Linked DNA regions of Cricetulus griseus. The protein of the gene in region 1 interacts with the protein of each later gene in a pairwise test. Links are inferred from orthologs where the notes say so. Each region holds a gene or a part of one and is shown in the gene's direction. Other genes may lie near its edges. The genes, in order: Trip6, Nck2, Oip5, Hoxa9, Frs3, Gse1 and Rad23a.

Evidence for each region.
Region 2: the proteins of Trip6 (region 1) and Nck2 interact in binary tests that used the Homo sapiens proteins (3 or more experiments, as listed by UniProt). The two-hybrid records come from large-scale screens. The link is inferred for Cricetulus griseus from reciprocal best matches to the Homo sapiens genes TRIP6 and NCK2.
Region 3: the proteins of Trip6 (region 1) and Oip5 interact in binary tests that used the Homo sapiens proteins (3 or more experiments, as listed by UniProt). The two-hybrid records come from large-scale screens. The link is inferred for Cricetulus griseus from reciprocal best matches to the Homo sapiens genes TRIP6 and OIP5.
Region 4: the proteins of Trip6 (region 1) and Hoxa9 interact in binary tests that used the Homo sapiens proteins (3 or more experiments, as listed by UniProt). The two-hybrid records come from large-scale screens. The link is inferred for Cricetulus griseus from reciprocal best matches to the Homo sapiens genes TRIP6 and HOXA9.
Region 5: the proteins of Trip6 (region 1) and Frs3 interact in binary tests that used the Homo sapiens proteins (3 or more experiments, as listed by UniProt). The two-hybrid records come from large-scale screens. The link is inferred for Cricetulus griseus from reciprocal best matches to the Homo sapiens genes TRIP6 and FRS3.
Region 6: the proteins of Trip6 (region 1) and Gse1 interact in binary tests that used the Homo sapiens proteins (3 or more experiments, as listed by UniProt). The link is inferred for Cricetulus griseus from reciprocal best matches to the Homo sapiens genes TRIP6 and GSE1.
Region 7: the proteins of Trip6 (region 1) and Rad23a interact in binary tests that used the Homo sapiens proteins (3 or more experiments, as listed by UniProt). The two-hybrid records come from large-scale screens. The link is inferred for Cricetulus griseus from reciprocal best matches to the Homo sapiens genes TRIP6 and RAD23A.

Annotation. Positions count from the first base shown.
Region 1 is NC_048597.1:116,225,497-116,229,645, reverse strand, and holds the start of Trip6 (thyroid receptor-interacting protein 6), read left to right. Parts: upstream 1-1,349; 5' UTR 1,350-1,509; coding exon 1,510-1,618; intron 1,619-1,867; coding exon 1,868-1,995; intron 1,996-2,108; coding exon 2,109-2,234; intron 2,235-2,487; coding exon 2,488-2,871; intron 2,872-3,342; coding exon 3,343-3,436; intron 3,437-3,534; coding exon 3,535-3,704; intron 3,705-4,149. Other genes in the region: Slc12a9 (solute carrier family 12 member 9), read left to right, coding at 1-661. UniProt on the Homo sapiens protein: Relays signals from the cell surface to the nucleus to weaken adherens junction and promote actin cytoskeleton reorganization and cell invasiveness. Involved in lysophosphatidic acid-induced cell adhesion and migration.
Region 2 is NW_023276807.1:5,069,783-5,073,851, reverse strand, and holds the start of Nck2 (cytoplasmic protein NCK2), read left to right. Parts: upstream 1-1,269; 5' UTR 1,270-1,405; exon of another isoform or gene 1,406-1,416; intron 1,417-2,174; exon of another isoform or gene 2,175-2,361; intron 2,362-4,069. UniProt on the Homo sapiens protein: Adapter protein which associates with tyrosine-phosphorylated growth factor receptors or their cellular substrates. Maintains low levels of EIF2S1 phosphorylation by promoting its dephosphorylation by PP1.
Region 3 is NC_048599.1:58,866,844-58,870,818, forward strand, and holds the start of Oip5 (protein Mis18-beta), read left to right. Parts: upstream 1-1,175; 5' UTR 1,176-1,258; coding exon 1,259-1,559; intron 1,560-1,793; coding exon 1,794-1,860; intron 1,861-3,975. Other genes in the region: Nusap1 (nucleolar and spindle-associated protein 1), read right to left, coding at 827-919. UniProt on the Homo sapiens protein: Required for recruitment of CENPA to centromeres and normal chromosome segregation during mitosis.
Region 4 is NC_048601.1:89,118,375-89,122,587, forward strand, and holds the start of Hoxa9 (homeobox protein Hox-A9), read left to right. Parts: upstream 1-1,413; 5' UTR 1,414-1,612; coding exon 1,613-2,189; intron 2,190-3,182; coding exon 3,183-3,421; 3' UTR 3,422-4,213. UniProt on the Homo sapiens protein: Sequence-specific transcription factor which is part of a developmental regulatory system that provides cells with specific positional identities on the anterior-posterior axis.
Region 5 is NW_023276806.1:255,491,768-255,496,057, reverse strand, and holds the start of Frs3 (fibroblast growth factor receptor substrate 3), read left to right. Parts: upstream 1-1,490; 5' UTR 1,491-1,676; intron 1,677-3,179; 5' UTR 3,180-3,323; intron 3,324-4,290. UniProt on the Homo sapiens protein: Adapter protein that links FGF and NGF receptors to downstream signaling pathways. Involved in the activation of MAP kinases. Down-regulates ERK2 signaling by interfering with the phosphorylation and nuclear translocation of ERK2.
Region 6 is NC_048596.1:197,185,358-197,188,857, forward strand, and holds part of Gse1 (genetic suppressor element 1), read left to right. Parts: intron 1-2,912; coding exon 2,913-3,085; intron 3,086-3,481; coding exon 3,482-3,500.
Region 7 is NC_048596.1:159,529,258-159,533,529, forward strand, and holds the start of Rad23a (UV excision repair protein RAD23 homolog A), read left to right. Parts: upstream 1-1,472; 5' UTR 1,473-2,873; coding exon 2,874-2,945; intron 2,946-4,272. UniProt on the Homo sapiens protein: Multiubiquitin chain receptor involved in modulation of proteasomal degradation. Binds to 'Lys-48'-linked polyubiquitin chains in a length-dependent manner and with a lower affinity to 'Lys-63'-linked polyubiquitin chains.

The DNA of each region.
Region 1 (4,149 bases):
GAATGTGGTTCTCGCCCGGGCTTGTGGGGCTTTGCCCCCGGAGCGGCTAAGCCGGGGGTCCAGCAGCAGCGCTCAGCTACATCACGTGGACGTGTGGCCCTTGAACCTGCTGCGGCCCCGGGGTGGGCCTGGCTACGTGGACGTCTGTGGCCTTTTCCTGTTGCAGATGGCTACCATCTTAAGCATGGTGCCTGCGTGGCACAGTGCCCGGCTCCGGATCTTCCTGTGCCTGGGGCCTAGGGAGGCTCCTGGGGCAGCGGAGGGCAGGCTGCGGGCTCTGTTGAGTCAACTCAGGATCCGGGCAGAGGTGCAAGAGGTGGTGTGGGGTGAAGGGGCCGAGACTGGGGAGCATGAAGAAGAGGAAGGGGACTTTGTGAATGGTGGTCGAGGAGATGAAGAGGCCGAGGCTCTGGCTTGCAGTGCCAACGCCCTGGTGCGTGCCCAGCAGGGGCGAGGCGCGGCAGGAGGCCCTGGGGGGCCTGAAGGAAGGGATGGGGAGGAGGGACCTGCTACTGCCCTCACCTTCCTGTACCTGCCTCGACCGCCTGCCGATCCTGCCCGCTACCCCAGATACCTGGCGCTGCTGGAAACCCTGAGCCGGGACCTGGGCCCCACCCTTCTTGTTCATGGAGTCACTCCAGTCACCTGCACTGATCTCTGAAGCCTGTTGAGACAGGGTTGCATAGAGGGCCCAGGCCCATTCTGAACAATGGATCCCCCAGTGGACTCTGCCCTTCGGATGATGTTTTAAGGGGACCATGGTCTCCTTTGGATGGGGGGGACGTAGACACTAATTTTGGGTGGCTGTTCCCATAGTCCTGGGAGGACATTGTGGCCCTGCCCTTGGCCTGCCTCCACTTCCTTCATTGGTGCCTTGACCAGAGGGGCTGGTCTCTTCTGCGACTCTAGGCTACCTCAGTGTCCCCATCCTGGCCACAGACGCACCGCCTCCCTCTCCCACTTCCTTGGGTGGTGATGTTTGTGTTTTGTTTTATTTTTCTAACTACTGACCATTAATAAAAGACCAAAACACTATGGGCTGGCGGAGCACTGCTGGTGGGTAGGTGAGCGGGAGGTGGGTGGGAAGGGAGAGATCTGTAGGGGGGTGGAGACCAGAAGCCTTTTGAGGTCCCGGCCGAGAGGCTGCCACGTGCAGTCCTGGGGCAGGGATCGTAGAAGGGGCTGGGCCGCAGCCTCTGAGCGCCTTGCAGCTCACCCTGTGGCTTGGCTCCCGAGGCGGGCGGCCCATTCTTAACAGGAGGGGGCCACAGAAAGAGAGAGAGGGGAGGGATTGCAGATTAGGGTTTAGGGGGACCACGTGACCCTCTCTAGGAATGTGGTGACGTCAGGGGGCGGGGCCAGCCCCAAAATTGGGGAGGAAGGGGGGAAAAAAAAAGCCAGAAAAAGTTTCTTTGCGGGAGTCCCAAACCGGGCGTGGGACGGGACAGGAGGGCTCCGGGCTTGTGGGGGCCGTGACCTCTGTCTGGAGTGGAGTAACCATCCCAGACCATGTCGGGGCCCACCTGGCTTCCCCCGAAGCAGCCAGAGCCCTCCAGAGTCCCCCAGGGAAGAGCGCTTCCCCGAGGCGCCCTGGGGCCGCCACCGGCCCACGGAGCAAGTAAGTGTTTGTCTCTCGCACACCCGGGAGTGGCGGGGGAGCTACTGGCCACTCTCCTTCACCTTTTCTCTCCTGTCTGTCTGCTTTCTGATGTCTCCTCCCCAAGCCAGAGGCCCCTGCCCTTGTGCAACCTTCCCTGATTCCTAGCCCTTCCCAGACGCCCCAGATGCGTGAAGGAGAGGCACCCCGAGCAGGGCAGCCTTCACGAGGTACCATTCTCCATTCCCACCTCTGTTCTCTCCCTTACAGCACTCCAGCCCCACCCCAGGGTCAATTTTTGCCCCCTCCCACCTGAACAGTGTTATCAGCCTCCGGGGGTACCGGACGATCGGGGGCCTACTTGGGTGGGCTCCCACGGAGCACCCCAGCGTCTGCAGGTGAGAATTGGAGATGAGAGGAGGATGTGTGGGTCTCTGTCTCAGGGTGAAGGCGACAGAAGCCCAAGGGTTGTGGTCTATATTTGTTCTCCCTGCTTTGGCTCTGTCTCCAGGGGCTCCCGCCAGACAGGGGTGTCATCCGTCCTGGAAGCCTGGATGCTGAGATAGATTCACTCACTAGCATGTTGGCTGATCTGGACGGGGGTCGCAGTCATGCTCCTCGGCGGGCAGACCGACAGGTCTGTGTCCTGTGTCCTGTGTCTGCGTCCCCATCCCTAGCCAGTTCCCTTCTGTGGCTCTTCAGCCTGAAGCCATCCTTTCCACACTTTGCAACTAATGAACAGCTGGCTCAAGGAAGCACGGGCTGCCTCCTTGCCGGGCCTTGCCCGTGGGAACTTGTCAGAAATCATTGCTTCTCTGTGGTTCCCACCTGGAATGCATGGATGTTGGTTAGGGCCTTACTCACTGTTTCTCCATTGCGTGTCTCCCCAGGCTTTTGAGGTCCCTCCACCCCATGCTTACCGCGCAGGCTCCCTGAAGCCCAGTGGAGGTGCTGTTCCAACCCCTATGCTCCCAGCAGCCCCTTATGGTGGACCTACCCCAGCCTCCTACGCCACAGCCAGCACTCCAGCTGGTCCTGCTTTCCCTGTACAAGTGAAGGTGGCTCAACCAGTGAGAGGCTGTGGACTGCCAAGGCGGAGGGCCTCTCAGGCCTCTGGGCCTCTTCCAGGCCCCCACTTTCCTTTGCCAGGCCGTAGTGAAGTCTGGGGGTCTGGCTATAGGAGCCACCGTGAGCCAGGACCAGGGGTAAAGGAGGAAGCCGCTGGGATACATGGCCCTGCAGGAGGAGGAAGAGGAGGCGGGCATGGGCCCCAGGTGAGCCGGGTGGGGGATGGGGGACACTGGGTTTGTGGTCATTTTAGGTAAGTGGGCATTGATTGGGTGGCATGGAGTACTTAGGATACTGGTTTAGGGCTGGGGAGGCAGTTCAGTTGGTAGAGTGCTTGCTTACTATGCAGGGGTTCCAAGGTTCTATCCACAAGCATGGTGGAGGTAGAGGCAGGTGGATCAGTAGATTAAGGTCATCTTTGGCTACATAACAAGTTCCAGGCCAGCCTAGGCTATATGAGACACTGTTCCAACAATAAATAAATGAATAAATCAATCCTGGTTTTTGGAGTACTTAGAGGTCATGGGTCAAAATGGCCAAAGGGAATGGGCTAGGTACCTCCCCCCCATTAGCTTCTGGGAGATGTTCTCAGATGAGTTTCAGGGTTCTGACCTTACAGATTATTCATGGTATCAGAGACTGTAGGTAGTACCACAAAGCCCTGATTCTCACTGTAGGTCCCTTTAAGCCAACCTCCGGAAGAAGAGCTAGAGAGACTGACCAAGAAATTGGTGCATGACATGAGCCACCCGCCCAGTGGGGAGTACTTTGGTGAGCTGACCTGGTGGGTAGGGTGGGCAGAGGGAGGAGATGGTGGCTCTGGTGACATGGATATGTACAGACTGATGCTCATTGCTCTCTATCCTCAGGTCGGTGTGGTGGCTGTGGCGAAGATGTGGTTGGCGATGGAGCTGGGGTTGTGGCCCTGGACCGTGTCTTCCATGTTGGTTGTTTTGTGTGTTCTACCTGTCGGGCCCAGCTCCGGGGCCAGCACTTCTATGCTGTGGAGAGGAGGGCATATTGTGAGAGCTGCTACGTGGTGAGTGTTGGGCTGGGGGAAAGAGGGCTAAACTAAGTATCAAGATGGGTAGGCGGGTTCCTGCCCATCTAAGAGAGGGCCAGATACTTAGTCAGATGGGGCAGATGATGGAGGGGGCTTGAAGCTGGGAACTCAAGCAGAAACAGAAGAAGGAAGGAGCTCCACGTGGTGGCTATCTGCAGGAGAGACAATTAGGAGTTTGAGGTCAGTTTTAGCTACAAAGCAGGTTTGTCCAGGCAGTGGTAGCATATGCCTTTAAACCCAGCACTTGGGAGGCAGAGGCAGGCAGATCTCTGTGAGTTCGAGACCAGCCTGATCTACAAGAGCTAGTTCCAGGACAGGCTCTAAAGTCAACCCAGGGCACATGTTTCCAGAGATCATTTGGTCCATCAACCAAAAGAACATTTTGGGTTTTGTTTCTTTGATTGCCTGTTTGTAGTTTTGG
Region 2 (4,069 bases), on another chromosome or scaffold:
TTTGTGTTCCCAATATCCACGTGAATGCCAGGTGGATATGCAACCCTCAGGAAGTAGAGGCAGGGGATTCCCCCAGCAGTCTGGTTAGTTGCAGTAGCCAAATCAGAGAGCTATAGGTTCAAGTGAGAGTCATCAGGGAGAATACCAGACAAAAGCCATCTTGTCTCCATAAACACTAGCACACACATACATACAGAAAACATCCATCTCACAATGAAAACACCACACCCTTTTTGGGAATACTGTTGTCTGATGCTTGGAAGACAACTACTCACAGACAGAGACGGGCTGGCCAGAAAAGTAAGAATGGGAACGAAAGACCTTACAACAAGATGCTGGACTTCAGACAACAGCAAAAGTGTCACCTGTCTGCAGGAAAACTAGATGGGCTAGGGTTTGAGAAGGAGCTATTGAATTTAGATACAAGATGCCACTGGGGACCTGGGGACTTGCTGTAAAGAGACTCTCTCTCTCTCTCTCTCTCTCTCTCTCTCTCTCTCTCTCTATATATATATATATATATATATATATATATGCATTTGATTGGGGGCTTACTTATAATTTCAGAGACATAGTCCATTATCATTAAGGCAGGGAGCATGTCAGCAAGCAGGCAGGCATGCAGTGGAGAGACACACTGGGCCTGGCCTAGCTTTTGAAACCTCAAAGCCCACCCCCAGTGACACACCGCCACCCACAAGGACACACCTCCTAATCCAAATAGTTCACCAATTGGGGATTAACCATATGAGCCTATGGGAGCCATTCTTCTTCAAACCTCCCTAGGGATTTAATAGTAAGAGAAGCAGTCTGAGGCCACTATTCAAAGAAAAGGCTAAAAAAGCTGGGTCTGTATTGTCCTACCTTATTTAGAGTGAATGGATTTTAAATACGGTTAAACTATTGATTACCGTTCTGCTTTCCTTATTGTAAAGCTAGATATTAGCAGGATGAGGTCTGCACAAAAGAATGAAAGGAGATAGCATCTCCGACTGGAAGGGGATGTCGGATATGCTGATTTTGTACCTAATGCTTTTTGGTCGGGCTATGTGCCAGATACTTTACATGGGAAGCAGGCAAACATCTCACGTGATAAAGTTGAGAAAGGTTGTGAAAGACACGTGTAAGGTGACACAGTTCAGGAAGCCTACAATCGTGCTATGATTACAAAGCCAAGCTTCCTCAGGTTACCCATGGCTGGAAACTTCCTTTAGGGAGGGAGGCAGCTGACTGGCCACTTAGGGTGAATTGTTTCTGCCTTGATAAGGAGGAGCCAAGGGCCAGGGTAGAATCTCATTAACATAAATGCGAGCTACCCAACCAGAAACTGAATTCATTTGAATATTAAGGCTTCCTTTGGAGAACCATGAGAGAAGGAGCTTGGAGAAGAAACATCTGGATTCCGGTGTGTAAGGCGTATGTGTTCCTTCCTCTTGTTCTAGGGTTCTAGCTTTCTAAATTTGCTTACAGGTTAGCCACTACTCAAGGCTGGTTGAGCGAGGGCGCCTTCCCAGCCTTCTCCTGTGCTAAATGAGAAATCCCAGGCTCCATAGAGCTGGCCTGGGCGCCCGGGAGGCAGCGGAGGTCGGGTTTCCTCTCCTCCCCCTAGGAAGTGGTCCCGCCTGAGAGGATGGAGTAAAAAAAGTGTCTGGTTGGGAAAGTAAATAGATGCAAGGCAAATAAATAAAGAAAATGCCCACAAGCAATTACTGGGAGGAAGTGACATTTTTATGTAAGTCACTTTTCTGACGGACACCAGGCCAGCTTGGCCGAGAGTGCCGTGGGAATGCTTTCGGGGAGGGGGGGTGATGGGGTGGTCGCTGTAAGAATCCAAGGCACAGCGGGGGTGCGGAGACCACCCGGTGGGACTAGCGGGCTGGAAGTAGCACTGCATTCTTTCCTCGTTCCCCTGCCCGCCCCCCAACTCCGATCGAGAGCGGGTTGCTGCCTAAAGCCCGCAGGCGGCGCTTTTCCCGGGCCCGGCCGGGACTCCCAGGTGGGTCCCCCGCCCGGCGCGCGCCGAGCTGGGCCGGCCCCTGGGCGGCGTCACGACAGCCGGGGAGGAGCGCGGGCGGGCGGGGAGCGCGCGGAGGCGGGCGCTGCGCGGGAGGGTCGCCGCCGCGGATCGCAGGCCGGGGCGCGCGGCCGAGCGGGCGGCGGCGGCGGCGGCGGGGAGGGCTCGGCAACGGGCAGGGCTCGGGGCTCCCGGCCGGCGGGGTCCGCCCGGGCCGGCAGCGTCCGCCCGGCGGCGGGAGGAGGGAGCGGCGTAGACAAAGAGCGGCATTTGGGCGGGCGCAGCGCGGCCGCCGCCCCGGGACCCGCGCCTCTGCCCTCCGGCCTCGGCGTGCGGTGTATAGAGAGGTAAGGCGACGGGCGGGGGGCTGCAAACTTGGTTGGGTCGGTAGAGTTGGGAGAGAGGGGCCGGCGGGCAGGGGCCGCCCGGGAAGGAGCAGGGAGCGCGTCCCCCCTGCGCGCCCCGCTGGTGCCCTCGGCCCCGCCGCGGCCTGGGCGTCCCCGGGTACCCGCACCTCGGAAACACACCTTTCTGCGAGCCCTCGCCTTCCCCAGCCTTGGGCTGGCGTGGGGGTGGGGCGCCCTCCTCGGGCTGACACCGGGGACCAGGACCGAGAGCCCCCGGGAGCACAAGCAGCCCTGGCCTGCGGGCGGGCGGGCGTGGGACCGAGCCGTGGCCCGGTCGCCGGGCGCGCGTGCCTGGGAAGAATAGCCTGGGATCTAAGGGCCCCGGCGCTAGGAAGCTAGGGGCTGCGATGGCCGGGGAGAACTTACTGTATTTAGAACTATAAGTGATCCGGCACAAAGCTACTGTCACGTCTCATACAAGAGGTCCGTGCCTCGGTGCAGGGCGCTTTTATGCCAGGTTCCAGTCCGTGTGCCCTGCCCCTCATTCCCAAGGCTTAAACCTCCAGAGCCAAAGTTTCTCTCAGCCGCCTTGCCCCTTCGGTTTGTTCAGGGCGATTTAAGCAAGTGGTTTTTGCAAGAATTTGATGTGGGACTTTTAATGCCCCGACGGCACCTCCCTTTTGAGCACTGTTAGCTTGGCATTGTGTGGAGGGGTTTGATTTGCAAAACGCTGTAATTTATACACTGTAACGATTCTCCCGGAAGGTGTGCGCGGGACTCTGGGTGGTGGTTAATGGATAGCAGACGTGACTTACAGTAGTATTGTGAATAGCTTGGGGACACAGCTGGGCGCTAAATAGCGTGGGCCCTGCCACCCTAGCCTGTTCAGGTCGGCAGTTTGTCCCTTATTTACTTTTCCTTATTTTGCTAAGAGGTTTAAAGGCTAATCCTGCCAAGTTTGAGTCTGTGTCTGGGATGAACAGGTCCCAGTTTGGGTTGGAGGTGCCCAGGCCTGCTCCTTGGTTGACCCCAAATGAAACAGCCCATTGGCCAGTGGGCATGGCCTGGAGACTCCTTTGCTGCTCCTCACCCATTGCAGGCTTTTCTGCAGGGGTTTTGAGGAGGAATGAAAATAATTTTGCATGTGTTTCAAGCCTGGGTTTTGGGTATAGTTATCAACAGTGGTTTTCTAGTGTAAAGGTCACCACTTTATCAAAACATCGTGGGCACTCCCCTCCATTCACTTTCCAAGTGTTTATAGATACAGAGATTTAGAAACAGACATTCGTGTTTAATATAGCGAAGGCAGCCAGTGGACACAAGGAGAAAGTGCACTTCAGTTAGTTAAGGTTTTAGACCTTGGGGATTGTTCCTAAATGACCACAAGGGACAGTCCTACCTTAAACTTTCTCACATTCTAGTCGGTTAATGTAGTTTTGATGGAAGAAAGAAAGGTCCCAGTGGTCTGAGGCTAAAATTGAGAACTTTGTGCGGCCGTAAAACTTGGAGTTACAGCCCCACCACCTGCCTTGCTCTCAGCCTCTTAGATGTGCAGCGACTCCTGGGTGGGGAGTTGCTGAATGAGCCCTGGCTGCTTGAGAGTTGATCAGCCCACCTGTGGAGAGACTGGCCCCTTTAAAATGGGCAGAGCAGATACAAGGTGGTTTCCAGCTCCCCGTAGTCCGATTCCAGGCTCTCAGTTTTGCAT
Region 3 (3,975 bases), on another chromosome or scaffold:
GCAGCCTTGTTTCCAATTTGAACTAATAAAAAAATAATCTCTTGGGGAAAAAAAGAAAAGCAAACAAAAAATCCACAAGATAGCAAATACCTGAGGGCCTAAGCTTTACTCATTAAAGTTGTGTAACTCAGAAACATTTCCAAGTACTCTTCATTGCCATTCAGACAGATTCGAGGAGCATCTATGGTCTCATTATTCTGTTTATATCACTTAAAAATATTTGTGATGACTGAATAGACATTTAGTGTAAATATCAGCTTGCTGTACAAATCTACGGGGTACACATGTGGGAAATCTCAACTCCAACATAGCAAGCCCCAGTCTCACAATGAATGACGTTTTCTCTGAACACCTTGCAAAAGTCCTAACCGGTTTTGAAAAAGAACACCATCACTATAGCGATCATACTATATCCCCATGGCTTGGCATCCAAATAAAGGCCCAAGAAGATTGTAGGTACTACTATCACAGTTTACTTAAAAGTAGTAATTTGGGAAATTTCCAGGAGCCAATTCAACTTTTTCTAATAACAGGCATTAGACATTACATTGATTATGTCTTATGGGTCTGTGTTTCCTTCTGGCAGCAGGAAACTATCATTAGAGTTTCTAGTAAGAGGCCTTTATGAGTTCCTGCCTCCAAATAAAATAACAGATATATCTTCTCTTTCGTTTAACAGATTCCAGCCAACGTGAGCCGAACCTACTCACCCAAAACCAGAGTCCCCCGGGGGTTCCCTCTCTGTCCCTTCGCCCCGTGACCCCCACACCCCTGGTCTCTTCTACCCCGCCGACCCAACTGCCCGCACCACCAGCCAGCACCGTACCCTCAGGTTAGCCCGGAGGCCCAGCCGTTTGGCTAAATTTTGCAGGTCGCTGTACTTGAAAGAGTCCAACTCCTCTGCAGAGGGGACGGTCATCGCGTTCTACAATCCCGGCGACACCCAGAAAAACAACCAGGCGACTCAAACAGCAGCGTTCAAAACTGGCGCCACCCAAGGCGTTGACAAGCCGACTTTTATATTCATTTTAAATGGAGGCTGCTGCACGTCCATTGGTTGAACGCCTCGGGGGTGGGGTTTTCCGATGCTGGCCAATAGAGCTGCTGAAGCGCGCAATAGCGCAAGCCTAACCAATGAATACGCGGCGCTCGACGGCTTGTGGGCGTGCCTTACGGGCATGTTGTCCAACGAGGATGCAGGAAACTTCGTTTCGGTGGAACCTGGCGCGAGCGTACAAAAAGAGGCGCCGGCTTCAGAATGATGGCTCGCTCGCGGCGCCTCCTCCCGTCCCCCGAGTCGCCGTGCTGCAGTGACTCTTGTGACACGCCTTCTGCTGCTACCTCCATGGAGTGGGACACTCAGGTGGTGTCAGGGTCTTCCCCTCTAGGTCCTCCGGAGACTGAGGTGGAGACGTCACCGGTCGACCTGCGGCTGCCTGCGTGGCTGGAACCGGAGAGGTGCGCCGTGTTCCACTGCGCGCATTGCCACGCGGTGCTCGCCGACACCGTGCATCTCGCCTGGGACCTGTCGAGGTCCCTCGGGACCGTGGCCTTCTCCAGTGAGTGAGGCGAGGGTTGGCGTCTGAGAAAGGGTAATCCCGACCTGTGGGATCGTAAACGAGCTGGGTGAGGGAGGCGTGGTTTTGTTTTCCGGAGCTGGGAATCAAACTTTGGACCGACCTCGCGTGAGCTAAGCTTGCGCTTTTGGATGAGCCCCACGCGTTTTGTTGACTTTTATGACCAGGATGAATCTGGTGGGCGGTTTTCCTATTCAAAACCCTTTTGTCTTTCAGGAGTCACGAACAATGTCGTTTTATTAGAGCCCTGTCTCGTTGGCATTGAAGGTTCTCTCAAATGCAGGTACGTGCGGAGAATTCCTGAGAAGGATCTATAGTTCCTTATTTAATGACACCGAGGACTATGTAGTTGTCGTAAACAAGAAAAAAAACTTTATTTTTGTTGTGACAAAAGTTTATTCTCTCCATACAATATATTTGGATGGTACATTTTTTATGCGTTTGAAACATGTCAACAAGGCATTAATGAAAGAAAAATTAGAGTTGGGTGTAGGTTTTAACATCTGAGGACTAAAACATCCTGTGAGATAACTAGGACTATTTAAATTTTAATTTAACTTGGAGTTTATATTACAAACCATAACAGAACTAATTCTGTAATAATCTCTGAAACTGGGGAAACACAATTGAATGTTTGGTGTTTCAGTACTACTAGTAATTTGCCTCTTCCCATATTTTCCCCATAGCAATAAAGTACTCAGCAAATTTGTGCTTATGAGGCCAAAACTAAGTTGTAACCATACCTCTATTCCACTTTGCCAAACTGAAAGACACATTCCTATTCTTATAGGAGTCCTTTCTCACCTGGTGGTTTATGCCTTTAATCTCAGTGCTTGGCAGGTGGTGTGTGTGTGTGTGTGTGTGTGTGTGTGTGTGTGTGTGTGTGTGTGTGTGTGTGTGTAGAGAGAGACAGGTGGATCTCTGTGAGTTCCAGGCCAGGCTGGTCTACACAGTGAGTTCCAGGACAGCCAGAGCTGTTACAACAGAGAAACTCTGTCTTGAAAAACCATAAATAAACAGTGTGTGTGTGTGTGTGTGTGTGTGTGTGTGTGTGTGTGTGTAAGTATGGTTGGGGGTCTTGGGGCTTGGCATATATATTGAGGTTCAAAGGCAACTTGAAGGAGTCTTTCTTTTCACCATGCTGGTCCCAAGAATTAATCTCAGTTCCTCAGGCTTGGCAACAAGTGCCTTTACCCCTTGAGTCATCTCACTGCTCCTGAAGTGACATTTTTAATATGTTTAGCTATGTAAAATATCTTAATTTCACAAAAAATAATGATTTTGCCTTGACTTTACAGTTCTACCTCTCCCTCCCAAGTGCTGGGTTCTCATATATGGAAACCTACACCAAATCTCTTTTTAAAAGCCTGGTAAGCCAGGTGGTGGTGGCACACACCTTTAATCCCAGTACTCGGGAAGCAGAGGCTGGTCTACAGAGTGAGTTCCAGGACAGCCTTCAAAGCTACAGAGAAACCCTGTCTCAAAAAAACAAATAAATAAGGCTGGGCATTGGTGTCGAACGCCTTTAATCCCAGCACTCGGGAGGCAGAGGCAGGTGGATCTGAGTTTGAGACCAGCCTGGTCTACAAGAGCTAGTTCGAGGACAGGCTCCAAAGCCATAGAGAAACCCTGTCTCAGAAAAAAACAAAAAACAAAACAAACAAACAAAAAAGAGTAGGGGAAAATATTCCACTTCACTGCCTGTTGCTATTATGACTTGTTGTCTTCCAGATTGATGGAATATTACAATGAATAGAAATTAAAATCTAGGGGCTGGAGTGATGGCTCAGTAGTTAAGAACACTGACTGTTCTTCCTGAGGTCCAGAGTTCAATTCCCGGCAACCACATAGTGGCTCACAAGCACCTTAAATGAGATCTGGTACCTTCTGCTGGCGAGCAAGCAGAAGACTGTATACATAATAAATAAAATCTTAAAAAAAAAATTAAAATCTAATTGACCTTGTTCTATATAATGAAATGGAGATACAATTTGTTTACATATTAGAAGTAAATGCCTTAAGTCCTCCAGTGTTCATGATCCAGGGCCCAACAAGCTATATTATGTTAACTCTATAGCATGGAGCAGAAAAACCCCAAACATCTTAAGGACAGTAGTAATTTTCTTTATAAGGTAGGGCGCCATGGACTGTACAAGTGATCGGAGGCAGTACAGAAATTAATTTTTGTCATAAATTATGACCTTTGTTTTTTTTTTTTTTTTAAGATTTTATTTATTATGTGTACAGTGTTCTGCCTGCATGTATCCCTGGAGGCCAGAGGAGGGCACCAGATCTCATTACAGATGGTTGTGAGCCATCATGTGGGTTCTGGGAATTGAACTCAGGACCTCTGGAAGAGCAGACAGTGCTCTTAACCTCTGAGCCTCTCTCCAGCCCA
Region 4 (4,213 bases), on another chromosome or scaffold:
GGTCACACACACACACACACACACACACACACACACACACACACCACAATTAACAATAGTGTCTGTGGCCTTTTTACTTTCTGTCATCCCCCAAGATTCTAAGGGGTAAAAAATACCATTTTCCATTTGGCCAAGGGATATGATTAAAGTCAATGTCCCCTGCTCCTCCTGGGTTAATCTATAGCACTGGACTTGAGCTGTAGTCGCCTAGTTTTGGGGGTCTCTTTTGCTCTGTTTGGGGGATAACCAAGCAGGGGTGCTGGCGGTTTAGGAAGGAAGGGAAATGGGGGAAAGAGGACTGGAAGGAAGGGATGTGGGATGGAAGAGAAAGAGAGGAGAGGAGGGGAGGGGAGGACCCCAGAACGGCTCACACTGGGCCCTCGGAGGGCCACCATACAAGCTGGTGCCTCTTTTAGGCTAGGTTGCCCTTTAGCAGGACAAACTCTCCTGGTGCAGATATTTTTTTCCCCAGCTCGAACCTGGGGAGAGGGCTTACAAATGATGGAGCTGAGAACAGGGTCGCTGGCTGAGGAATCGAATTCGCTGAACCGCCTGTGCTCAAAGTCGTGGGCCAGAGCCCAGGCGATGTTTGTGACACAATTAGGTCCTCAAACCCTTGAGGGCAGCTGGAAGTTCCCTCCTTGGTGGTTCCACCGTGGAGCCTTCCATTGTGGAGCAAGGACTATGTGGGTGCTGTGCGGGCGCCTGGCTGGCTTTATAGTCTATCCAGGCTCGGTAGCCCACTCTAGGTGGTTGTACCATCGATGGATGGTGTGTCAGCAGGGGAGGTAGCCACGCTGTTTGAGGTGGAAAGAGCCTTGTATTTGACTTTTTCAAGGCAGGCCTGGGGGCAAACTTGCATCTCTGAAGACCGAAAGGATTATTTACAGGGTGCTCACCAACCAAACACAACAGTCTAATTTAACCTTTCCAAGTCCTCATAAATTTTTACAGGGAGCTGCAGCGAGGCAAACGAATCCTTTGGTTGTTCCTGACTTCCCACCAGCCGGTGTGGCTTCCGAAACAATAACTCCTTATGAAATATCATAAATATAGATTTAAATACAGTAGAGTGAGAATGCGATTTGGCTGCTTTTTTATGGCTTCAATTATTGTCTAATTTTATGTGAGGGGCTCTGCTGGCCGCACTCGCACGCGGGACCCGCGCCTTCCTGATGGCGTGATTAATTGTGATATAAAATAGTCCGCTTAAGATGTGTGTGGGTCTGGTGTGTGTGTGTGTGTGTAGAGGGGGTGGCAAGGAAGAGTACGGAGGCAAGGCCAGATTTGATCTTTTAATCTTCGTTGGCCACAATTAAAACAAACCAGATCGTGGAGCGGCGCGATCCCTTTGCATAAAAACATATGGCTTTTGCTATAAAAATTATGACTGCAAAACACCGGGCCATTAATAGCGTGCGGAGTGATTTACGCGTTATTGTTCTGCTGGGCGGACACGTGACGCGCGTGGCCAATGGGGGCGCAGGCGCCGGCAACTTATTAGGTGACTGTACTTCACCCCCCCCCCTGGTGCCACCAAGTTGTTACATGAAATCTGCAGTTTCATAATTTCGGCGGGTCGGGTTGGGCCGGCCAGGCGCGGGCTACTGCGATGGCCACCACCGGGGCCCTGGGCAACTACTATGTGGACTCCTTCCTGCTGGGCACCGATGCTGCTGACGAGCTGGGCGCTGGACGCTATGCGCCAGGGGCCCTGGGCCAACCCCCAAGGCAGGCAGCAGCGCTGGCCGAACACCCCGACTTTAGCCCTTGCAGCTTCCAGTCCAAGACGGCGGTGTTCGGTGCCTCGTGGAACCCGGTGCACGCGGCGGGCGCCAATGCGGTGCCGGCGGCCGTGTATCACCACCACCACCACCCCTACGTGCACCCCCAGGCGCCCGTGGCGGCGGCAGCGCCGGACGGCAGGTACATGCGCTCCTGGCTGGAGCCCACGCCCGGTGCGCTCTCCTTCGCGGGCTTGCCCTCCAGCCGGCCTTATGGCATTAAACCTGAACCGCTGTCGGCCAGAAGGGGTGACTGTCCCACGCTTGACACTCACACTTTGTCCCTGACTGACTATGCTTGTGGTTCTCCTCCAGTTGATAGAGAAAAGCAACCCAGCGAAGGCGCCTTCTCCGAAAACAATGCCGAGAATGAGAGCGGCGGAGACAAGCCCCCCATCGACCCCAGTAAGTGTCTCCTTCCTGCAAGCCGGCCGCTGCCTCCACGCCGGCTACCAGGATCTACCAGGATCTATATCCACTTTCTCTCGAGCCTGCCTTCGTCCTCGATGGGAGCCTCTGGATCTGGGGTCGAGAACTAGAAATTGGTGTTTGGAACACCTCAGATAGGGGCCCCAAGTCCAGAGAAGTGTGTGGAGCAGGCCGGGCCGGCTGGGGGAAGGGGAGGAGAACGGTGCAGCAAGAGGGGGCGGGGCGGGCGCAGCGAATAGAGCCGAGACCCGCCGCCCCTCTCCTAAACTATCCAGGCCCAAGACAGACAGACTTTGGGCGGTTCTTCGAAAGCAGTGCAGAGAAGTCTTTTGTGCGGCTAGATTGTTGACGAACTGCGGCAGCTAAGTCAGCTGGGCAACCTGACCCGGGACGCTTGGGGAGACCTCCGATTCCCTCTACTTCTTGCTTTCGGCCGGTGGCTGCATAAATCCTGCCCAAGATGAGGCTGAGGGCTGTGGAACCACTAGGGCCCCTTTGCCAGATTTATTCAAATAAAGTGGAGACGTGATCAAAGGCCTTGGGGCACCCTGCCTCCCGCCTGGCTCCCACGGCCTTCCCTTCCCGGGAAGGTCAAATAGAGTGGGGACAGTTGCAGAGAAGCCGGGGAAGGGGAGACAGCGATGAGAGAGAATTCTTGTTACTCTTGTCACACCGATACAGGGCAGCTTGCTCTTTGCTTTGCTGGCAAAAAGAATATGGCTTCTAAATTTCACTCTTTCACAATGTGCAGACCGTAGAAGGAAGCAGAGCAGGGGACCGGAGAAAGGAGGGTGGAGATGAGAGGGGAGCTGTAAGTGACCCTCCGAGGGTCTGTCTGCCAGGGCTTCATAGTGTTTTCTCTAACAAATTCAGCGGCGTCCTGCAGTTCGGCCAGAGACCCCCAAGAGGCACCTTCACACCCATCCAGGACGCTTCTCCTTCTAAACCCAGTGTCTCTCTCCCCCGCAGATAATCCGGCTGCCAACTGGCTTCATGCTCGCTCCACGCGGAAGAAGCGCTGCCCCTATACAAAACATCAGACGCTGGAACTGGAGAAAGAGTTTCTGTTCAACATGTACCTCACACGGGACCGCAGGTACGAGGTGGCCCGGCTGCTCAACCTCACCGAGAGGCAGGTCAAGATCTGGTTCCAGAACCGCAGGATGAAAATGAAGAAGATCAACAAGGACCGAGCAAAAGACGAGTGAGCCGCCGCCGGTCAGGGCTCATTTAGAAAAGAGCAAGCTAAAAAGAAAAAGAAAGGACTGTCTGTCCCCTTCTCCCTCCTCTCCCCCAACCCCAGCCTCCACTCCCCGCCCAAAGAGGCTCTAAACCCCGGGCCTCATCTCCGCCTGGCATTCCCTGCTCAGGCTGGCTCCTAGGCCTGCGGCTTTATTGGAGGAGGTATTGTAAGCTTTCCATTTTCTATAAGACACCCACACAAGGGAGGGCATTAGCGCTGATGGCTGTATGTGCTTGCTTGTATATATATTTAAAAAAAAATCTACCTGCTTCTGACTTAAAGCAAAAGGGAAAAAAACTACCTTTTTATATACAATGCACAACTGTTGATGGGCTGTATAGTTTTTAGTCTCTGTAGTTAATTTAATTTGCTCTTCGTGTGGCAGATCACTCTGCTAAAATACTTGAACACTGTGTTTTATTGTGGTAATTATGTTTTGTGACTCAAACTTCTGTGCTGGGTGAGGCACCCATTGTGATTGTGGAAGCTAGAATTCAATTTGAACTCAGGTTGTTTATGGGGGGGGGTGGGAGAGGCGGTTGCATAGAGTATAGCTCTGTAGTGAAAAACTGTGTAACTAGACTGTCAACCTAACATTGTAAACTAGCTGTAAGGATTTCCCCGTGAAATCACATGTGGAAAGAAAAGGGAGGTAGTTCTCCAAGATGCATAGATTCATGATTTCTCTACTTTTGAAATGTGGGCGTCTTCATCTTTCCATGTTCTAGGCTCCAGTCTTGTCCAGTGTATATAGCAT
Region 5 (4,290 bases), on another chromosome or scaffold:
AATCACCAGGCTTTTGAGTGTTCTGCAGTTGTTTATAACCATCAGAGCACCTCCCAACTCCAAGTACCACCCCCCCCAGCTCCCCTTCAAATATCCAGTGCCACCCCTCCCTCCTTCCTGACTCCACACCCACCTGCTTCCGGAATTCCTGTTAGTCCCTCAGGTCAGGTTTCCTGTGGAAGGTGGCCAGGATGGACTGTCCACACTCAGGGGTGGGAACAGCCACACCCCTTAGCAGCACTGTTTCAGCTCCACGAAACAAGGGAGGGGGGGTGCGTTTCTGGGGCCCCAGAAGGGGACTTGTACCCTCTTCCTGATTAGTTCTAGTTTGCATGGAACTGTCTGGCACACAAAATAACAATCAGAATTCAGACCTCTACCCTTCATCCTTCATATCCCCCATCTCAAGAGCAACCTAGGGACGGACGTTGGTGGCGCATGTCTTTAATCCCAGCACTCGGGAGGCAGAGGCAGGCGGATCTCTGTGAGTTCGAGGCCAGCCTGGTCTCCAGAGCGAGTGCCAGGATAGGCTCCAAAGCTACACAAAGAAACTCTGTCCCGAAAAGGAGTGGGAGAGAGAGGAGAGAGAGAGAGAGAGGAGAGAGAGAGAGACCTACTTCACCCCCTGTAAGTCCCCTCCTCTCTCCTTTCAGGTAAGAACAGATCAAACACTGGCTCCGCCCCCTCACCCCAGATGCAACCAAGCTCAGGGTTCAACCTCCCCAAACAACACCTCTTCTTGGAAGGATGAGCCCCAGAGGCCCTAGGGACTGGAGGGCAGTGGACGTGGGAAGGTGTCCCTGAACCAGAGGGAAAGGGAGGAGAATGTACGTTTTCATTAAGTGGCCTCTCGGCAGAGCCCCAAACTTTTCCTAGGACTTTGCAGGTCCACCCGCTGAGCGGGGGTCAACGTGTGCTTACCAAGTTCGCTTGGGGTCCCTGTCTACCTGCTGGTCTAAGAGTAGGGACTCAAACTCTCCGCAGGGGTCTCAGCGTGGCCCAGTCTCTCTCTCTGGAGAGACCCCCCCGTCGGTCTACGCCCCCGGTGGCCCCGACCAAAGGGTGCTGCAGACTGAGGATCGCGCTCGTGGGTCTCAGGACGGGGAGGGCGCAGGCAGGCATCCATAAACTTAGCGACGCGACGCTCCACCGCCGAACCGCGAGGCGTCTGCAGCCCCTCGGCCGGCCCCCGGCTTCAGCCCCGCCCCCTGCGGTCCTCTGCAGCTCCCCCCCTCTGTCCCCAGTGGTCCCTCGCCACTTTCCCTCCTGGATTTCGAGTCCTGTCCTGCTTCAGTGGCCGACCCGCTCTGCTGCCTTTGGTGATTCTCTTCTGCTTGAGAGATCGCTGATACCTACGTTCCCCGCCCCACCCGGCGCCTCAAGCCAGGCCACGCCCCTATGGGTTCCCAGGCTCCGGCCCCGAGCGCCCTCTGGCGTCTGCGCATGCTCTCTGCCCCCGACTGCAAAGTCCTCCAAAGGGACCTTCTAGGCTGCCTGCCGGTGGCCCCCGCCCGGGTCGGCCTGCCCGCAGCGTCTCGTTGGTGCAGCCGGTGACCTCCGACCCCGCGGGACCGGAGCGGGGCGGGGCGGGGAGGCCTTAGCTGCGGGCGGGCGGCGGCGGCTGCTGCTTCGGGACCCGGGAGCGGGGCCCGGCGCCGCCCGGGCCGCGGGGCGATGTGAGTCGGGGTGCGGCGGGGCGGGGACCAGGCGACTTTTCCGAGGCCGTGTCGTGCCGCGCCGCAGTCTCCGCTCCTACCCTAGAAAGCCCCAAACGGGCGGGCTAGCGGCGGACCCGGGGGCTGGGGGCGGGGATGCGGTCTCGGAGGGCGGCCGCGACCTTCGCATTCCGTCTGGGTATCTAGAAAACCTGTAACCAGTTCTGCCTCTCGCTCCCCAGACCCCACCTCTCCTCTCTCCCCTCTCCCCTCTCTCCTCTCCCCGGTTACACCTTCGGGTCTCCGGGATCCCGCAGAACCCCCTCACTCACTTTTCCAGACCCACAGACACATCTCGTTCTCCCCTCAGTGGCCCAAAGGCTTCCGCAGTCACCATCCTGAAATGCCTCAACCTTTTCATTCTTTTTGCTCCATGCCGGAATCCAGAATCCTCACCCATCTTCGTATACATTTTCAGTCCTCATACTTCCATCTAGTGTCTGTCCCCAAATCTAACTACCTCAGACCAGAGCCTCCCCCACCCCACGCAGTGTAATCCCACTCTGGATTATCTAATAATGTGTTTGATATCTCAAAGAAAAGGAGGGGTATCGGAAAGGTACAAGCCCTCCCCCATCTTGCATCCAGTGTACTTGGCTTCCCATCCCTTCCCAACACCCTGTTGACAGTTTAAGCCCTATGGTCTTTTCAGTACCGCCTTTAGCCTGCACACACCTCCTTCCAAAGCCAGACCAAGAGTGTGGGGATTCTTTTACCTAAGTGTTGTGCAAGGGTGCAGGGCTGGTGGGGGGGGGGGGGAGACACACCGGGAAGTACTGTTTTCCTGGAACAGGAAGGAGGGATTTCAAGAGTTTTCTTCGGAGTCCTGGTTTGTCAATTCATCTACCTAGGGCTCAATCTGAAACTTTGCCTCTTGTTGTAACTGGCCTTCCTGGCACTAGGAGCAGAAAGCCTGTCTAGCTTTCAAATGGGCAGTGCCTTATTAATACCTATTTCTAGAAGTTACTTCAGCTAGAACTCCCATGGTTGACAGATGTTTCCTAAAGAGGGGCGGGGGACAAGAGTTAGAGGTCTTGGGGGGGGAGTGACAAGCCCCCACCCAGATATGTCTATGTCATAGCAGGAAAACATTCCTGCGGGTGAATGTTGGTTTTCAGAGGCTCAAACTCGTGCTCTTGCTGCACTAGCATTTGTTAATATTGTTGTTCTGAGAGAGAAGGGTCAGGTGATGGTCTGAGCTGCACCTGTCCCAGAGGGCACTCCAATGATGGCTGTGAACTAAAGGTGCTGGGCTATCGGAGTTCACTGCCGTTGGACCTAGGGAGTTCCTCCCGGGACTGAGAATTTGTAGACCTTTACCAGAGATTGTGTTCACTGGCCTTTCTGTTAGGACCTAGGCCAGATAAATCCAGGTGGGATGCACTGCTAACAAGTCTGTCTCATGGAGAGTTAGGGGCTGAGGATAGGTTTCCATTAATGTGTGATCTCTGTCTCCTGTGCTAGGTGAGCCTCAGGTGTGACCCACAGGGATCCAGGTGACGTCTCTGCAGACTCTTTGCCATGTCACCCCACCAAAGACTGGGGGAGTAAAGTGGGAATTCTTTCCCATGCCCCTCCCATGGTCAGCTCCCCAATGGCCTGGGTGAGGTAAGAACTGTGGCTAGGTGTCAGTTTTGTAGATTTCTTAACTTGGGAGAATTGTAGGGAACAGGTCGCTGGATTGTTCAAGGTCCTACCACAGCAGCAGCAGTTCTGGGATAATCTGCTGCCTCATGGTTTTTTGCTGGCTGAGTCTAGGAGTGTAGCTCAGTGGTAGTAACTTGTTTGGGCTCTGTCCATGTGTTTCTTGTTCCCTTAGGTCACTAAGGTCTACGAGGTCTCCTCTCCATATTAAGGCAGAAACCTGTCTGTTGTGACATGTCATCCAATTACAAGTATCCTGAAGGGAAAAGCCAGCCAAGGTCTTTTATCTGTTCTTTGGCCTTTGGGAAGAAAACTAAGCATTCTGGTAGTTATTTTAGAGTGCTGGTGGTTGAATCTGGTGCCTCACATGAAAGTCTACCACTGAGCTACATGCTGAGCCCCAGAATTTTTTTCTCAGTGAAGAAATACCTAATCAATGTTTTTTTTTTTTTAATCATGCTAGTTTGAGCCCAACCTGGTAGTATGCACTTTTACTCCAGCCCTTGAAAAATGGAGACAAGAGCTCTGTGAGTTCCAGTGTTCAGTCATTAAGTGTGGGGTTGTTTTAGTTTATTGGTTTGTTTATCGCCCCCCGCCCTCCCCACACAGTCTTTCTCTGTGTAACAGCCCTGGCTGTCCTGGAACTCACTGTGTAGACCAGGCTGGCTTTGAACTCACAGAGATCTGCCTGCCTCTGCCTCTGAGTGCTGGGATTAAGGGTGCATACCACCACCACCCGGCATAGCTCATTGTGTTTTATGATCACAGTGTAGCAACAGTTTACTTGAGGAGAACATCAGAATTACTGGTTTCCAGTGGAAATTGGGGTGGGGCATGAAAGAAAAGTCAGAACATGGATAGAGTGGAATGGGTAAGGTAAAAGCTGAGGAAAAGAGAAAGCAACAAGACGGTATCTGGGACACCAAGTGGC
Region 6 (3,500 bases), on another chromosome or scaffold:
GGGCTTGATGTGCACCCAGTACTGGAAGATGCTAGGATTAAGGTAATCCTAATGTCAGGCTTGTGACAGAGTACCACAGACAGGTTTCTTGGTTTAAGAAGTCAGAGCATGAGGGGAGGGGAAGGGGCTGCTGAGGCCTGCTCCTTTACTTTTAGATGGTATGTCCTCTGGTGGCCTTGACTGTAATCACTTCTTTAGGGGTCAGCAAAGACATATTTACTCAGAGGCACCAAGCTGAGACAGATGAGGGACAGTCCATGACACCATAAAGTGCCTAAGGTGGTGTCTAAGTCTTGGGTCCCTGGGTAGACAATAGCTGTCACTGCTTTTGGGGAGTAGGGACGAGAGTATAGGCCAACTGATAGTCCCTGATCCCAGCATAAAGGGGTCTTGGGTGCATCTGCAGCCTCCCAGCTGGCCACATATGAAGCTAACTGGACGGGAGGAGCCAGTGCCTGGAGCTTCCCCTTTACTCTGCTGGGCCTCCCACCCGCCTGGCGCCCGAGGGGCCTGGCTAATTAAGAACCGCTGTCAGCTGTGGCTTTCCCTGGATTCTCCAGCCCTATTCCCAGAGGGATTGTACTGCTAGGAAGTACTAATTAAACTGCAAAGATGGAGGGGGAGGGGGAGAGCGCATCTCTTTCCCAGCTGGGCTGGGGCAGGTCTGCTGGGTGTCCCTGGTCCCCAGTAAAGTACACCCCCCCACCCCACCCCACCCCTTCCAGCATCCAGCAGACTCCTGAAAGAAGCTTGGGGGCCAGCTTTGGCACCTTCCTCCTGTGGCTGGAATAGCACTTACCGAAGGAAGCCTGTCTGTCAGTCTGTCCCTGAATTTCAGCTTGGCTCCGAGCAGCCTAGAACCATCCTATCCTGATTTAGGATAGGTCACCATGATCCCCTGTCTGTGGACTCCTCCCAGAGCTCAGCCTTGACCTCAGACAGTGAGTCGGCTGATGTTACCCTCCATACAGCTTCCCTTCCCTGGGCGGCCGACTTGCCTGGTGGCTAGCTGGCTCTGGGTCCACTCCTGAGAGAAGCTTGTCGGAGGCCACTTCCTGCTCCTGCCTTGAGCCTGGAGCCTCCACTGATTGGAGGAGCCCTTGGCCCAGGTCCAAGACACCTCATGTGTGCCTGCATGTCCCCTGTCCCTGTGCCTCTGCCTCATGACTCCTCTGCCTGGAGCTTGTCACTGTCCTCAGAGGGTCCTTACCACCTCAGAAACATTTAGTAACCCAGAGAAGGGCCGTGATGGCTCCGCTCCAGCAGTTCACACTGCAGTTAATGAGACCTGTGTGCCACCAGGGAGGGCGACAGAATGAGCAGATGATGCTTAGAGCTCAGCAGAGAGCTTAATCCTTTCCAGGAGGGCGGGGATGCGGCTCTCCCTGCAGTGTGGCCATGAGTCACTGGGAGCCTCTGGAGGCTGTATCCACTGTTGGAAGTCAAGGGGGTGGTGGCTCTGGGGCCCTGCTCAGGGGGTGACCAGGCAGTGGAAGCCGCATGAGGAGAGATGAAATGAAAAACGGTCTATTTTGAAGCTAACAGGCATCTCCCACTTGCCCAACTGTGGAGACCTTGCTCTAATCACTGGAGAATGACAGTTCCCTCCTCCCCTAGCTGATGCCTTTCATGGATGCAGCTGCGTCAAGCAGCGCTACAGATGTGTCTTGTCTTTTCCACAGCCGGGCATCCGATGCCTTGGGACGGCCACCAAGCCTGGTCTTTTCCTTCCTCCATCACCCACGCATCACCCTAGCTCCCAGCTGACCTATTTCCCTGATGTCTGGCTCAAGTTCAGCCAGGCCCTGGTCAGAGCCTGATGGCCATTCTTCTAGTCTCCTTGTTTGTCCTGGTGTGGGTGGGATAAGTGCCCCCCACCTTTATGGTTACTGTGTGAATGCCCCTCCTGAGAAGGGCAGGTCAGAGGTCATGAACCCGTGAGGACCCCACCGGGAACCAAGACAGCCTGCTGCTATACTCTGGGAAGGAAACAGATGTTGCTGCTCATTAAAAATTCAATCAGCAGCCTGTCTTCCTCAATTAATCGTGGCTGTCTGTCTGTGGGGAGCAGGAGGGCTTGTGTTAGGCTCTGTGAGAATGGAGCCAGAAGGTGCTATGGTAACCTGCCCCCTCAGTTCACACACAGAGGCTTAGCTGGTAACACAACAGTAACCTCCCCCCTTGTTGCTTTACATGGGCTTCAGTGGCCATCACCCTCACAGTGCTAGATGACTTGAAGGACGAGCTGGCAGGCCTGTCTCCAGGGACAGTTGGTGTTACTGTGCTAGGCTACTATGTGCCTAACAGTCACACCCACAGATTTAGCAAGTATCAGCCAGTGTGTACAGGACAACGTGAGGCTGGATCTCCCCAGGCCCAGGGATTACTGTGAGCCGCTCCTGGGGTCCCACAGCCTAAAAGTATGAAAGAGTGTCCCCAGTGTCCAGAATAGCTGCTATCTTAAGTTGCAAGTTCCTAGGGTATATGTGCTGTGACCTTATGACTACCCCATGTGGGATTGATTGTGGGAAGTAGTGCAGACCTGCTCATGGGAGGCCATACTTTCCTTACCCCATGCCTTCTCCCTAAATACCTCTTTTTTTTTTTTTTTTTTTTAAAGAAAACATTAGAGGGCCAGGCGGTGGTTGTGCACACCTTTAATCCCAGCACTTGGGAGGCAGAGGCAGGCGGATCTCTGTGAGTTCTAGACCAGTCTGTTCTACAAGAGCTAGTTCCAGGACAGCCTCCAAAGCCACAGAGAAACCCTGTGAACCCCACACACACCTAAAAAAAGAAAAAAAAAGAAGAAGAAACATTAAAGGAAGGATGTTTCTATAATACGAGCTAAACAGGGGCCTTTCTGTGGACCTGGCTGGCTCCCCATGCCCTAATGCTGTGTCTTCTTCCCACAGGACTCTGTCTCACGAGGCAGCAGCAGTGGTCGGGAGCGCCTGCTTGTGGAGCCTCCTCTAGCCCAGGAGAAGGCAGCAGGCCCAACCATTCCCTCCCACCTGCTCAGCACCCCCTACCCCTTCGGCCTCTCCCCCAGCTCGGTTGTACAAGACTCCCGTTTCCAACCACTCAAGTAAGTGCCAGGCTAGGGAAGACGCGGGGTGGCTCCAGGCAGGCTTGGAATTCACACCAGCTGATGGAGGGTGCCGCTCTTAGCCTCTGGCTGGCTCTGTCCTGAAGTCCTTGGCCCCATCTGTGCTTGTGGTCCACTCCATGCTGAGACTTAACACTTCTCCTAACCACATTTAAACCCATCTTCTGGGTCTGGGCACAGAGAGCTCATCTAGCAGCTATGTCCACTGGTGGGGACTTTAAGGGCCAGACAGGTCTGAGGGCCAAGCAGCTGCCCTTCTGTGTATTCTGGGCCTGATGGGAGGTGGAGTCGCAGGAGCAACCTTGCACTGTTGGGGAGTGTGACATGTTCCCAGACCAAAGTGAATCCTCTACTCACCCGCCTCTTCTCCCGTAGCCTCCAGCGGCCTGTGCAT
Region 7 (4,272 bases), on another chromosome or scaffold:
GAAAGCATGGCTTTTGAATGGTGTTACATCTTTTTTTTTTTTCCTTTTAAGAGTTTTGAGGCAGGGTGGTCTTGGTATGTGTCCTTGGCTGTCTTGGAATTCACCATATATCCAGGTCTGGCCTGGGATTCCCTTCTTGCCTTCCCACTGCATCAACATACCTGTCCCTCCCTCCCTTTTTAAAAAAAGTTTTGACAAGAGTTTCACTGTGTAACACTGGCTGGCTTAGAACCCCACAAGTGGTCTGCTTCCTCAGTGCTGGGGTTAAAGGCATGTCCTGCCACCACACCTGCTGCCCTACAGGGTGGAAGTAGAGTCCTGTCCAGAGCCAGGGCTGTCAGAAGTTACTGCTGACCATATGTCTTTCCATTCTTCCCCAGGTCAAGTCTGGCACAATCTTTGACAACTTTCTCATCACCAATGATGAAGCCTATGCAGAGGAGTTTGGCAATGAGACATGGGGTGTCACCAAGGTGAGCTGGGTTCCTGCTTCACTGGGGGTCAACTGGGAGAACAGGCAGGCAGGCAAAAGCCAGGTACTAAAAGGTGTCTGTGCCACAGGCTTCAGAAAAGCAGATGAAGGACAAGCAGGATGAGGAGCAGAGGCTGAAGGAAGAAGAAGAAGACAAGAAGCGTAAAGAGGAGGAAGAGGCTGAGGACAAAGAGGATGAGGATGACAGAGATGAAGATGAAGAAGATGAGGATGAGAAGGAGGAAGATGAGGAGGATACTACCCCTGGCCAGACCAAGGATGAGCTGTAGAGGCCATACCACCTGCCTCCAGGGCTGGACTGAGGCCTGAACACCCCACTGCAGAGCTGGCTGCTCCCAATAATGTCTCTATGAGACTCAGGAACTTTTCAGTTTTTTCCAGGCAGGTTCAGATCTGGGGTGAATTCTGATTTTGTTTCCCTGCCTCCCCCCAACCTCCCCCCTCCCATTTTTTTCTTTTTTTACTGGTGTTTGTCTTAATTCTCCTTTAGCCCTCAACCTCCTGGCTTCTCATTTTGAATCAACATCTTTCCCTATGTCCCTTTTCTCTATCCAACCCCTGGTCACAACCCTCCCAACTTCAGGAACGGGTGTGGAGGAAAAGTCCTAGGCTTGAGATTTCATCTGCTCTCCTTCTTGGATCTCAGAGGAGTGCAGGAGAAGGGGGTGGTGTATCCCTCCCCCAGCACTGAGGAAGAATGGGGGTCTTCTCATCCCCGTTCTCCCTTGCCCCCAGGACTGGGCCACTTGTGGGGCAGCCAGTTCTAGCACAGCTCACACTGAGAGTGTAAGAACTACAAACAAAATTTCTATTAAATTAAGTTTTGTGTCTTCCCTATCGTGTCTCCTTCTCTGGGAGGATTACGTCAGGGAATCAAAGGTGGCCTTTTGAGGTGCTGGTGGCTCATGTTTGAGCTATTGGAGTTGGCGGAGTCCAACAAAGTGACATGGCTGCATATGATATGTATCCTGTAATCTTAAGTAGGAACGCAGCTGTCAGGTTTTGATGCCAGGTCTCCCTGTAGTAATTCCCTTGTCCTGGCAACAGACATGTGATTGACAGCCTGGTGCTGACTACTGGGGCGGATATTTGAACCTTAATCTTAACCATCTATTGTTGGTTTCCTTTCTGAAACTACTACATAAGATAGTTGGGCAAATTCAAACCTCACATTAGTGGAGTAAATGCTGGTAGCTCATTTTATAGTCAAAGAACTAAAGTCAAAGATAGTGAGTGGCTTAACCCAGCGGCCAATATTTCTAGGACTAAGCTGATAGAAAAGGGATTGGTTTAAAGATTGGGTTGTGTTCCGTTGGAGATGGCTTACCTGGCATGCCCTACCACAGGAAAAAAAAGAAAATGGGATTCGGGTGACTGATGGGGTCTCAAGGTTTCCATTTTAAGCTCCACTGAGTAGGTTGGAAGGTGGGCAGGAGGCCTGTGTTATTAGAAGGAAACTGATTCGCCCTTGGCAGAACCTTGCTCAGGTGACCAGAGGGAGGCAGGCCTTTGGCAAGTGCTTTGTCACTGGTGTGGCTAGAAATATGGCAAAGCAAGCTCCAAAGTAGTGAGTATTAAGTGTTGATGCCTATGTTGTATTTACTGAGAACTTTAGCTTCTTAAGTCACCCTCAAGATGCCCCAGCTTCCCAAGTCTGACATTTCATTACCTTTTAGTATGTGGTGGTAACCTAAGGCTTGTAATACCCCTTACCTCCCAGAAAAATAGGTGCAAGCAAGGAAAGTCTATGGGAGGAAGAATGAAGTATTTAATACAAAGGAGCCTTGCACATATTAATACTTTTGAGGTGTTTAATAGTTATTGCAGGACCATGAAGAGGTAGGGGACCCATGAACTAGAAGTCAAAGCTTATTCCAAAAGTGATGATAGTCTTGAAAATGGAGCCACATAAGTTACCATTTTTACCTTTGAGATTTATAGTAACTTCACTTTCTTCTAGGCTTGAGTAATTAACAGTGCTCTGTGGGATTTTTTAAATTTTTGCCATGTCCGAAATAGGTCAATAATCCTATAACAAATACCTTAAAAACTTGGAGGTGGAAGGGGGGTAGCTCAGAAGCCATTTTACAGGCATATGACATCACTATTAGGCATGACATCACCCAGACCCTATGATGTCTGTTCCCACAGCAAAAGCTCAAAGCTGAGTTTGCGCATGTCTAAGGTAAGGAAGCGTTGCCGCGCATGCTCTAGAGGTCGAGGGGGTCACAGGCGGGTCATATACACTGACGATTTGCGCGCGCTTCCCTCTTGTCCCGGAAGTGCTTTCCCTACGGCACAGCTGGGCGCTAAGATGGCGGCGGCGTGAGTTGCATGTTGTACGAGGATCCTGGGGCTGCCGCATTGCTCCGGCCCCGCCATGGCCATCACCGTCACGCTTAAAACGTTGCAGCAGCAGACCTTCAAGATACGCATGGAGCCTGAGGAGACGGTGCGGGCCGGAGCCCGGGGGCGGGAGCGACCGGCTGTCGGTCGGGGTGGGTGGGGGCAGGGAGGCCCGGATCCAACGGGAGGGGCGGGGAGGACTTGCGGCCGGGCCCTGCTGCCCTTTCCCAGCGACCCGACCTCCTCGCACCCCCCTTCCCATCGCCCCTGCCCTGCCCCGGGGCTCAGGCGCCCTTCCCGGGTTGGCCCCAGGGCGAGTCCCCAGTCCCGCTCCTGTGCCAGCTGCCGACTCCGCATTCCCAGCCTGCAAGCCGCTCGGGTGACCACGTTTGGCGTCAGTGGCCAAGAGGTGCCAACTGGTGACAACAATGTTGATAATAATAAATGGTCTTAATCTTAATAGTTTTGGTGGTCCGTGTTTGTTGGCCGTTTATTCTTTGCCAGTGTCGTCTTGCTGAATCTGCAAAATAGTGTTGTCCTTTGGGGACTCCTAACTTTCCCCGTTTGACAACCTCAGAGTTAAGGAAGTTTGCCATGGTCACAGCAAGTAATGGAAGAGACGGGATTAATTTTTTTTTTGTTGTTTTGTTTTATGTAACAGACAGCAGCCTAAACTTGCTGCATGAACTTTGTTTGCTTTTGCTTTTTGAGAGTGAGGTCTTGTTTTGTTGTCCAGTGCTGCTTTGAATTTCTGGGCCCAAGTGATAGGTATTGCCTTAGCCTCCCAAGTAGGTGATACTATTGTTTGAGCCACCTCCCCTGAATCTTCTCAAATATACTATGAAGCCACTGCTATACCCTTAGTGAAGTCTAGGCATAGTGGTCATGTCTATAATCCCTGAACACTGAGGCCAAGATGGGGATTGTTTTAAGTTCCAGACCAGCCTGAGCTATGTAGTTAGGCCAGCCTGGAGTGCAGAATAAGACCATTTCAAAAAAGGAGGGGGTAAAGGATTTCCTCAATAATTACAGAACAGTTAACTTTTTGTGGCCAGCAGTGGGTATACCCTTTCATTTCCTTTTTACTGTTTCCCTTCTCAACAACATGACATCTGAAATACAAGTTTGCTTTTTTTCTCACATCAAGGTCTTCTCCATGAGAACAGTGACTGAATTCTGTTTTGTTCTGTTCCACAGGCTGTTGTAAAACAGGGTTTGGGATGGAGCTCTTGTAGAACAATTAGGCCACCACAATCACACGCACATACACACACAACGAGCAGCATAAGTGTCTGGCCTGTAATAGATTGCTGTCGACTGGCCACATTGAGTAGGAGTCTCTTATGATTGAGAGCAAAGCTTTTCCCCTAAGGTAAAAGGGTCAGGAAAGGTGTCTTTATTTTATCTGAGACAGTTTCACTATATAGTCCTGG